2 linked regions of the Caenorhabditis elegans genome follow. The protein of the gene in region 2 purifies or fractionates together with the protein of the main gene of each other region. This does not show direct contact. Each region holds a gene or a part of one and is shown on either strand. Other genes may lie near its edges.

What was found.
Region 1: the proteins of W08F4.3 (region 2) and sod-1 fractionate together in Caenorhabditis elegans (co-fractionation; one large-scale study listed by BioGRID). This does not show direct contact.

What each region holds. Positions count from the first base shown.
Region 1 is NC_003280.10:6,970,745-6,975,403, forward strand, and holds sod-1 (Superoxide dismutase [Cu-Zn]), read right to left. Parts: upstream 3,144-4,659; 5' UTR 3,137-3,143; coding exon 3,089-3,136; intron 2,758-3,088; coding exon 2,674-2,757; intron 2,631-2,673; coding exon 2,472-2,630; intron 2,428-2,471; coding exon 2,274-2,427; intron 2,230-2,273; coding exon 2,132-2,229; 3' UTR 1,962-2,131; downstream 1-1,961. Other genes in the region: putative very-long-chain enoyl-CoA reductase art-1, read right to left, coding at 132-259, 314-623, 914-1,053, 1,098-1,328, 1,373-1,490. UniProt on the Caenorhabditis elegans protein: Protects cells against oxidative stress by converting superoxide radicals to hydrogen peroxide. Required for normal brood size. May be involved in regulating mpk-1 phosphorylation downstream of phosphatase ptp-2 during oocyte maturation.
Region 2 is NC_003280.10:577,967-584,307, reverse strand, and holds W08F4.3 (Sigma non-opioid intracellular receptor 1), read right to left. Parts: upstream 3,707-6,341; 5' UTR 3,688-3,706; coding exon 3,552-3,687; intron 3,491-3,551; coding exon 3,369-3,490; intron 3,317-3,368; coding exon 3,067-3,316; intron 2,821-3,066; exon of another isoform or gene 2,754-2,820; intron 2,651-2,753; coding exon 2,472-2,650; 3' UTR 2,294-2,471; downstream 1-2,293. Other genes in the region: W08F4.12 (F-box domain-containing protein), read left to right, coding at 1-9, 756-880, 951-1,084; fbxb-14 (F-box associated domain-containing protein), read left to right, coding at 1,559-2,197; cdc-37 (Hsp90 chaperone protein kinase-targeting subunit), read left to right, coding at 3,715-3,806, 4,416-4,803, 4,850-5,458, 6,099-6,221.

The DNA of each region.
Region 1 (4,659 bases), 6.4 Mb from region 2:
TTTTCAAGCAAACATTTATCTGGAGAAATTGTCTATTTAATAAATTACTGATTGAAATAAGCGGATTGGTAATAATAGAACTGCAAGAGTACATGAAAAATACAATAAATATTCGGCGCAAATGCGATAATTTAGAGAACAAATGGAACGATGGCCTTGCGATTTTTTGGGTAATCTGGGAACTCCTTGAGGTAGTTGCGGTGCTTTCCTTGGGCCCAGATTGCCATTTGAGCGAATCCAGCGGTGGTGAAGATGATTGCTAAATTTTAAGATTATGAATAAAATCAATTATATTTACAAGTTTTTTATTTACCTGGAAGAGATTGGACCATAATGGAGAAGAAGATCCATGATGCGACCTCATATGTGTAGTTCGGGCACGAAACGTAGTTGAAGAGGAGAGAAAGTGGATTTCCATCAGGCTTTGGAATACGACGTTCGCGGGTTCCAGCTGGACGGAGGTTGCGGAGAAGAATGTGGATCGAGAGATTTCCAAACTCCGAAATCACGAAACCGGCAAGTCCGAAATAAACCTGAAGATCTCCGAAAGCTGGTGGTGTGAAAAGTGGGTGATTGACAAAGTAGGCGACGAAGGCAGCGAATCCCCAGTAATAGGAGCAGTTCTGAAAATTCAGGAAATAGAAATTTGTTTATCGATTAGTGAATTTTATTTTTAATCTTGTCCGTTTCAAAATTCTCTACTAAAACTACCTAAAGTTGTACGAAATATTCTAACTTTGAATTTTAGGCATATTCAACGTTTTTACTAGTTTTTTTTTGTTGCTATATTTCAGATTGAAAATTGCCGTAGAGCGTAAAATAATTTTTTCATCAACGCAACTTTTGCAACTTACTATTAGTGTCCCTTATTACTTTTTACTCAATTGTTTTTATTTTTATTTTTGAAACATGCCTTGACTAAATTGAACTGTGGCATAGTCGAGTTTCCGAATCTATGGATGAATTGAGTTTCGAACAATCTCTTGGCGTAGTGGAAGCTCCATGCAAAGAAGGCGATTTGTACTGCTGGATGCATGGTAGCATTGACAGCGGCTGTAATGTAAGATATTGTGTGAAATAATATTAATCCGGCTCACCTTGTCCATAAATGAAAGTTGGTCGAAGATAGAAAAGCGGATAAACGAACAAAGGTCCAGCATACTCAGCCATGAAGACAGTCTTCCAGGCGATTTGTGGTCCGAGATCTCTTACATATAAAACTGCTTTTTGAGATGAAAGTCCAAGATCGGAGAGTTTTTGGTCATCAGCCAATGGTTTACCCTTTGGTTCGACACGGAGAGCCTGACGTTCTTCGGTGAGTTTCAGCTCTGAAATTATTTAGCTAATAAATCATAAATTTCGATTCACAAACTTTTCTGGGCAATTCGCTTCTTGATAGCTTTGATCGTTTCGGATCCAGAAATTCCCTCGAGGGTGATGATGAGATTGTCCGTACGCTTTGCGTCATAAACCTCCAGAATCCCACTCATTCTGAAAATTGAGGTTTTATATAAACTGAAAAAAAGGAATTTTCACAAAAACTGGCTCTATTCAGAAAGAAACGAATTTTTTGCAGTCCACTATTATAAAAATGGTGTGATTTTCTTTTACGGGTCGCTATCAATTGAACTGATAAAAAAAGAAGAGAAGCATTGTGAAAATGCCAATTGAAACGAACGACCTCGAAATAAAATTTACTAAATGCATTAAAAAATAGAAATTATTATATTTTCAAAGATTTTTGTCTGCCTTAAATAAGGGAAAAGCGATAATATTTAAACGTTTTTTGAAATAGCCTCATTATCAGGTGATTCTTATTCAACTGCTCGAAAAATCGCCCTTCTCCGTCAGAACTTGTTGATAGTTTAACGGCTGGCACAACATTTATGGCAGTTTGGTAACAAAACTGAAAAGTGAAGTATTGATATAATGAGCAGAGACATTGAGATTTGTAAAACATAGAAATTGGAAACTACAACCTTTATTTGAAATTTTGAAGAAATTTTATGTGAAAATATACAGTAGTAGGAGTAGGAACAACGGGATTCTTAAGAATATAACGACAAAGCAAGAAATGAAAAATTGTCTTTAGTAGGAATTGTGTGGAGATTCAGAGACGCGATTCAGGTAGTCACTGGGGAGCAGCGAGAGCAATGACACCGCAGGCAGCACGAGCTCCGGCGTTTCCAGTCTTCTTGGACTCTTCTGCCTTGTCTCCGACTCCCTCGCCTGGAAAGTTTACTAAATTGATTTTTAATTCGAATTGTTCATACCGAGGTCGTCTTGTCCGGCATGAACAACCATAGATCGGCCAACGACAGTGTTTGGACCGTAAAGCGTGACGAGCGTGTCGGTGAGCTTGATTTTTGCCACTCCATCGGCTCCAGCTTCCACATTTCCTAGATCGCCTACGTGACGGATCTCGGACTGAAAAAATATTATAATTCAAGCGATATAAAAAATTTCCATACTTTTGGTCCACCATGAGTCTTTCCAAATGGATTGAAGTGTGGACCGGCAGAAATGCATCCGTTGGTGGAATCACCATATTGGTGAACGTGGAATCCATGAAGACCGGGAGTAAGTCCCTTGATTTCTCCTTCAATAACTGCCTGGTCATTTTCGGACTTCTGAAAAAGAATACAAATGATTTAAGCGGAAAACTCGGCTAACCTGTGTGATCCAGATAGTACCGGTAACAGTTTCTCCACGAAGAACAGCGACAGCACGGTTCGACATTTTTTGAGCGGCTTCGACCTGTAAATTCAACGAATTTTCTAGGGAACACTCTAAGGAATATCACGGCAAAAAGTTTAGAATTAGAAAAAAACAGGCAGATCACAGTCGATAGATGCAAAATTAAAAAAGAAATGGTAAACACGAGAGAGAGAGAGAGAAGGTGGAGCGAGATGAAATAGACAACATTGTGTGTGTACCCGCCTCTCGGTCGCAGAATTTTGTAGCTATGTCTCTAGTTTTTGTGGGTTTCTGATGAAAATGATGATAATTAAGGTAAAGGCAACAACACAACGCCATAGATCAAATAGGCCCAAGTTGCGAATGACGAATGTTTCGGATAAGCACTGACCTGCGGAAAAATCGCGTTGGAGACCTGAGTGAGAAGATTCATAAACATCACCGATCTAAAATACTGAATCTACAACTTTGAATAATAAAGAAACAATGGAAAGTATGATTATGACACTGATTAAAAACCACAAAACAAAAACACAGAAAAAATAAGCGGCTCACAAATTCAACGTCTCCACTCTTGAAAACTCGAAATTGAACGATTATTTCAAGAAAAAGGATTTTTAATAACTAAATTTTAATTAATTTTGAGAATCGGAAGAAAACCGGGAGTGGAGAATCGTTTCTATAGAAACTACGAAAGCGTAAAGAAAATTTAGAGAAAAAAGAAAAAAACAACAGCAAAATAGTGTGCACGCATCAAACTTGACGAGCAATGCGCGTCAAATATGCTGTTCGAGAAAAACCGCGGTTATTTAAATGTGAAATTTTTGTGTTGCGAGAATAAATAGCGTCGGGTTTCTTTCATGTTGGAAATTTTCGTTTCCAGAAACAAGATATGAAGATCGTTATGCAATGAAAGTTTTTCCGTAGAAACTTTCATGTGAATCAAAACGCCGAAGGCAACAAAAAAAAACTACCTTACAGGTGCAAACACGTTGTGTTTTTTTTCTTTCTCTTCTTAAATTTGACGGGGTTGCGGAATTGAACTCAAATTGTAAACGGAAAATGTGGTTCTTTCAAAAATTAGATTTCCAAAAATTTAACAATTCCAAAATTTCAAAATTTCGAAATTCAAAAAACTTTGACCCCTTGACCCCGCCCACAACAATGAGAGGAGGGCCTCTCATTCATTATTCATCTTTGATCCTGTACTGGTGGGTGAGTTTAATTCTGCTCCAAAATTGTGGTAATTGGTTATTGCAAGAGACTTCGTAATGGAAGTCATCTTGAGAATCCCAAGATTGTCCCCCAGACGTAAGTAAGTATAAGATGTAGTTGTCTGGAGTCAAGTGGTTTACTCTCGATTAATCCAGACTGGCTAACCTGGTGCCTAACGGTTTCGAGTGATTGGGGTTGGGTGATTGGTATTCTTGTTGATACTATATTCTAAAGATATGATACGGTCGGGGTAGGTAGGAGACTGAGTAGGTAGGTAGGGTAGGGTAGGTAACGGGGTAGGTAGGTAACTGAGGGCGCACGAGTAGGGGGCTAGAGGGGTAGATATCGTTTCATATCTTAAGAGTATAGTATCAGCAAGAATATCAGTCTCTCAATACTTGATTGCTCGAAACTGGTACGACACTTGGTCAGTCCGGTTTGGTGTTCTATCATTGCCTGTCGGTAATGGTGCTAAATTAAGATTAAGATTTTGAAAAATAACAATTTTTATTTTTTTGAATTTTATTTCGAAAAATGTTCTATAAAATAAACTCACAGTTGGTTAAAATTTAAATTTTGAATAAATAATAAGCAGCATGAATCGCATAGTTATTCTACTGTACTAAAGCTGGCAATTTTTGATATCAAAACTGATAATTCTGACAATTCCTATTGACGTAGAATATCCTTTTGGTCTTTATGATGTAGACAATGGAGGTGAGAAAAGAAGGGGGCTAAAAACCCAAG
Region 2 (6,341 bases):
CATTGAGCAGTGAGTTTTAATACCTTTTTTTAATTCCACACTAATTTGTTCGCAAGGGTAGGCGGCAATATACCATTTTCGGCAGTTCCAAACTTCTGCAATTCGTCAATTATTGAGTTCAAAAAGTTTGGAAAAAACTAACTTCTACTCTACTCGGCAATACGGTCTAACTTCATAGCATACTCTTGCAACTTCTTAACAACAATTAGGCATGTTAGCTTTTAAGCAAACTTCTGCAGCTTTTCAGACGACTTTTTCAATTTCTTCGCAGATGTAAAGCTAAATTTCGCTCACAATCCCGTTGGTTTTCGCAACTTCTTCGCAAGAAATACGGTACATATGTTTTAATACGAATAATTAACATGAAAAACATAAAAAATGTAGAAAAAAACTTTTTTTTTTGGTCGACTTCCAAAATTATGAGTGGCAAAAACTGAGTAATTGCCACTTTTTTGCAGTTAATAAAAAACTTTCAGAAATTTTTTGAAACGTTTTATTGTGATATGCAGCCAATGTTCCAAAAAGTACACTGAAAAAAATTAAAAAAAAAAGACATTTTTGGCAACTTACCAAAACTTTTGCTGAAACTTTAACAATCTGAAAATTTTTGGACAGTTTCATTTTGATATTCGGTCAAATTGAACTATTGAATTCATACTGAATCCCCACTGACGATTCATTCTTTAAAAAATTAATTTGGAAGAAACCCCAAAATAACAGCTTCAAGTTGACTCCCAAACCTTATGTTATTTCAGATTCTCGATCTCTCTACTCTCAGCAAAAGCGAAAACTGCGGTTGCCAGAGTCAACGGGAACCACGAAAGTGTGTCATTCTCTGATTCGACAATCAGGCTGAGGTCCAGTCTCAATGACAGATATTGTAAGAATCTTCACGATCCTTGTACTCTCCCACCGTCATACAAGAGCATTACTTTCGTATAGTCTTACAGGTCCAGCAAGTGATGTCGTAGCGGATAACATCACGGTTATCCGGCCAGAACCGCTGCCCAAGACAACGACTAGGCCTGCCAACGTTTGGAGGTCACGATGCAAGCGCGCCCCACCGGACGGCGCGCGGATCTGAATTGCCGGCGCCAACTCTAATTGTCATCATTCTCGACTTTTCTTGGCCCCGCCCAATTCCCCTATATAAGGAGCCGGAAACGCTCATTCTAGGTCTTCTCTAATTCCTTTTACTTGTGTTACTTATCGTCCTTTTCCCCTCCTTACATGTCCCATTAACTCGGTGATTTCTCTATTAATTTATCCTTAATAAACCGTAATAACCTCAAAACCTCCAACTCTTATTATTCTTTAAAGAATTAATTTGGAAGAAACCCCAAAATAACAGCTTCAAGTTGACTCCCAAACCTTATGTTATTTCAGATTCTCGATCTCGCTACTCTCAGCAAAAGCGAAAACTGCGGTTGCCAGAGTCAACGGGAACCACGAAAGTTTGACATTCTCTGATTCGACAATCAGGCTGAGGTCCAGTCTCAATGACAGATATTTATTCATATTTAAAGAAAATCCACCGAGGGTGGTAGCTAGAAGGAATATGCGAGGATCTGAAGACGAAATCGAGATTCCTCACCTCACACTTATCAAGTTCCTGGACCACATCCACGAGGTTTTGCATCAGAACCGGCAAATCCACATTAACCTCGAAAATGGGATGAATGAAGAGATAAAAACGATTTGTTCTCTCTTTGAGAACAGGAAGATCGCGAGCTGCAGCACCACATCCACGGAAGTTCAGGGGCACCATCTCTTCGGGACTCATCCAGAGAACCTGGAGATTGTCGTGGTCCCAATAAGAAAAGAACTCTTGGTTCAAAATTATGAGGAGCTGAAAGTCACCAATCTCACACTGAACGAGGTGTTCTTGTCAAATAGTCGAACGCTTCGTTCATTGCACCACTCAATGACTGCAAAGGATGTCAACTTGTTCTTGAAGATCTGGATTCAGAACTCACAGCTGAGAATCAGTGATCTTGTTGTAGATGGTCTGAATATTGAGCATCCTGTACATGGAACTATTCTCCGCGGAATAGACTTTACTAGATACGAAGATCCTCTGGTCGTGGATGATGGAATGGTTCAACACGTCCAAATTGTGTGCAAAAGAGGGATCAAGGCAAAGGTTTCCCTCACCAGAACTACTGTTCGATTCGTCCGGCTGGCCGACGATGAGTAAGCAGCGACTTTTGATCATCTTTCACTGCAAATGCCTTCAAATACCTGTGCAATTATTTTTTTCGGTTGAGCTATATGGTTAAATGGTTGAGGTGATGAAATAAATATGTTCTTGTATTTTAAATTATGCAATAAAATGGCTCAAGAAATCGAATTACACAACCGTAAAAATGGAAGTAGAGGGGGGACATTGGGATAAAACATGACTGAATAAATGAAAATTTCGGGTTAGAATGCTTGTAGAAATGCACCGGATGGGGAATCACATAAATTATTTAAAGTTCTCCAGTGGCGCGGGCCTTGTAGTGCTGGAAGACACGATAGAGGGTGTGGCTCAGGTTGTTCCAGTAGTTGTAGGCCTGCTTCATGTAGAATTGAATGACCGAGAGTGGCTCGCCGAGTGAGATTCCAGAGGTGACGTGGACGGTGGAGGAGAGTGGGAGGAAGCCGCGACCTGAAAAATATAAAAATTCATTAGAAACGAGGGGATTTTTATATGGGTCTGGTTGACTACAAACTACAAAATTATATTTAGCAGACCAAGCGATTTCAGTTCGAAATTGGTCTGCTAGACTACAAACTACAAAATTATATTTAGCAGACCCAAGTGATTTCAATTCGAAATTGGTCTGCTAGACTACAAACTACAAAACTGTATTTAGCAGACCATGCGATTTCAGTTCGAAATTGGTCTGCTAGACTACAAACTACAAAATTATATTTAGCAGACCAAGTGATTTGATTTCGAAATTGGTCTGCTAGACTACAAACTACAAAATTATATTTAGCAGACCCAGGTGATTTTAATTCGAAATTGGTCTGCCAGACTCAAAAAAAAACGAATTTTCCTTGATTTTCGGTGTAATTTACCGTAGCACGCGACGTAGGTGTCCTTCTCGAAGCTGTACACGTGGGACTCGAACTGTCCGTGCCTGAAAGCGGCTCCCGAAGCAAAGTTCTCCGACGTCTCGTCCTGAGTTCCGTCATTGAATCGGCTGACTTTTCCTTTCAACACGGTGCACGTCGTATTTGCCCAATGGAGCCCCGGGCGTCCTGAAGTTGGGAACGGAGCGGAGAAGGCGGCGGCGAACTCGGTGAAAGCGGTCAGCATTGGGTACATCTGGAAAATTCATTAAATTTAAGATTTTTTTTCGATTTTTCCTGTTCCTCACCCTTAAAGTGAGGCCTCCCAACTGAATAGCGTGCCATTCGAAGTGACTTGGCATGATTGGCTCGTAATAAGTGCGCATTCCAGACGTCAATGTGGAAATTGACTGGGAGATTGTTGGAGCAGCTGAAAATATACAATATATTAAAATTGCGGTATTTTCGCAGAAAAATATGTTTTTCCTCACCAGCAGCCTTTCCAGCGATAGTCTTGAACTGCTTCGGCGAGATGTCATAAGACTTCCAGCGGAGGCCAAATTGAGCAGCCTGGAAGACTGCGTAGAAGAGCAGAAGATACCGAAGCTTTGAGGTGAGAAGAGCCATTTTCACGTGTTGAACTACCCTGAAAACATGGAAATTTGGAAATTTTGCGTGAAAAAAAAAGGAAATACAGTCATTTCGCGAGTTTTCAAGAGGGACAGCGAGTGCGAAGAAGAAAAATTGTGAGTTTAACATTGATTTTTTGAAATTTCAGATGTTTTTTCGCGGAAAAATCAATGGAAATGCTTGAAAAATGCAAGAAATGGCGCTGCAGCGCGCTGAAAATTAAAAAAATCAGCGAAAAAGGAATTGTGTGCAAACACCGTGACGCAGAAGCACACAGAAAACACCATATCTGACGCGCATTGCCACAGAAGGACCGAGAAGAAAAACAAAAGTCATTTTTCGCCTTTCTCATGTTATTTTCGGGGTTTCCTTCGATTTTTTCCACTTTTAGAAGTCTAAATTTAATTCTACAGGCTTTTAAAAATCAATTTGTCGGAGTTTTGGGCCAAAAAAAAGGCCGAAATCCGCTAGAAAACGTAGTATTTCTATTTGAGAAATTTTGAAGAAATTTCTCGAAAATTGCTCAGCAAATAGTTAATTCCACGTAAATCCTTTGAAACATCATTATAATGCCACGTTTTCTTCATGAAATTTCTGTTTTCGTAATTTCACGCGGATTATCCTCGTTGTCGTGGCAACCGAGTCGGAATTTTCCAGCGATTATCAGTTTTCTCTCGCTTTTCCTGCTAATTCCTTATTTTCCACTCAATTTTCTCGATTTTCAGCTCAAAAATGCCAATCGACTACTCCAAATGGAAGGATATCGAGGTTTCCGACGACGAGGACGACACTCACCCGAACATTGACACTCCGTCGCTCTTCAGATGGCGCCATCAAGCTCGTTTGGAGCGAATGGCCGAGAAGAAGATGGAACAGGAGAAAATCGATAAGGAAAAGGGCACGACGAGCAAGAAGATGGAGGAGCTCGAGAAGAAGCTTGCCGCAGCCGATGTCACTGACAAGTCGGATATTCAGAAGCAAATCGACGAGGTGAAGGCGCAAGAAGAAGCCTGGCGCAAGAAGGAGGCCGAACTCGAGGAGAAAGAGCGTCTGGAGCCATGGAACGTCGACACGATCGGTCATGAGGCGTTCAGCACGTCGAGGATCAATAAGGTTTTGAAGATTTTTCTGTGCAAATTGATTAATTCTGTAATTTCAGATCACCGAGAAGAAGCCGCAAGCTCCCAAAACCGATGAGGAGGACACTCATGCGATGAGCACTTTCTTCGAGACTCACGAGAGCCTTCTGGAGAAGATGGCCGTGCTCAAGAACGGAGCCAAGTCGACGGAGCTGTTCCTGGCCGAGCATCCGCATATGGCGTCGGAGTACACTGCAAATTGGCTCACAATTGAGGCTCTCAACGCCGCCATCGATTTTAATGAGGAGAAAATGAAGACGATGGCTGAGCAATGCATCATCATTCAATATCTTCTGGAGCTCTCGAAATCGCTGAACGCAGTCGCCACGAATACCACCGTCCAGAAGCAATTCTTCAAGAAGTTCGAAGCCGCCGAGCCGGTCTACATGAAGCACTATCAGGATGAGGTGAAGGCGTTCGAGGATCGTCTCAGAACACGTGCGCAGACGAAGAGAGACGCCGCGATGGAGGAGGCTGAAGCCGAGGAGAAAGCCGAACGAATGAAGAGTGCTCCGGGAGGAATCGATCCACAGGAAGTGTTCGAGCAGCTGCCGGAGGAGATGAGAAAGTGCTTTGAGGCACATGATATCGAGGCGTTGAAGGGTGTCGCCCAGAAAATGGATGAAGAGGTGAATATTTGGGTCTGCTAAATTGAAATTTGTAGTTTGTAGTCTAGCAGACCAAGTTTCTTCCAAATGGCATTGGTCTGCTAAATCGGAATTTGTAGTTTGTAGTCTAGCAGACCAAGGTTCTTCAAAATGGCATTGGTCTGCTAAATCGAAATGTGTAGTTTGTAGACTAGCAGACCCAAAGTTTTCAATTTTCGCAATGAAAATTGCAAAAATTGATAAATTTTCAATTTTTCAGCGGAAAAATGAATATTTTTCAAATAGAAATTAGCAAAAATTCAGGTTTTTTGCGATTTTTAGTGGAAAATTGTGCGATTTTTGTGTTTTAAGACAAAAGTGCGTATTTTAATATAAAATCCTGAAAAAATCTGAACTTTCGGGGGAAAATTGATCTATTTTCAAATTTTTGAGTGAATTAACATTGTATTCCAAAAAAAAACGAATCAAAAATCAAAATTTTAAGCTGAAAACAGGCATTTTTTAATTTTGGTCTGCTAAATCGAGTTTTGTAGTTTGTAGTCTAGCAGACCAAATTTCTTCAAAACCACCTATGGTCTGCTAAATCGAAATTAGTAGTTTGTAGGCTATTATTTTTAGCCAAATTCATCTAATTTCAACATCCAAAAATCCAAATTTTCAGGTCTTCAAGTACCATTTCGATCGATGCATCGCCTCTGGACTCTGGGTGCCCGGAAAAGCTGACGACGACGACGACGATGAGGAAGCTGCTCCAGCCGAGGAAGAGCCAACAACCAGCTCCTAAATTTCCCCATTATTCCCCGTTTGAAAGTTCCCCTGATCTACTTGTTTTTTCTGCACCGCACTTTACTTTTTCCCCAAGATTCACTGAAAATGGCCCAATTATTTCTTTATTTATTCTACA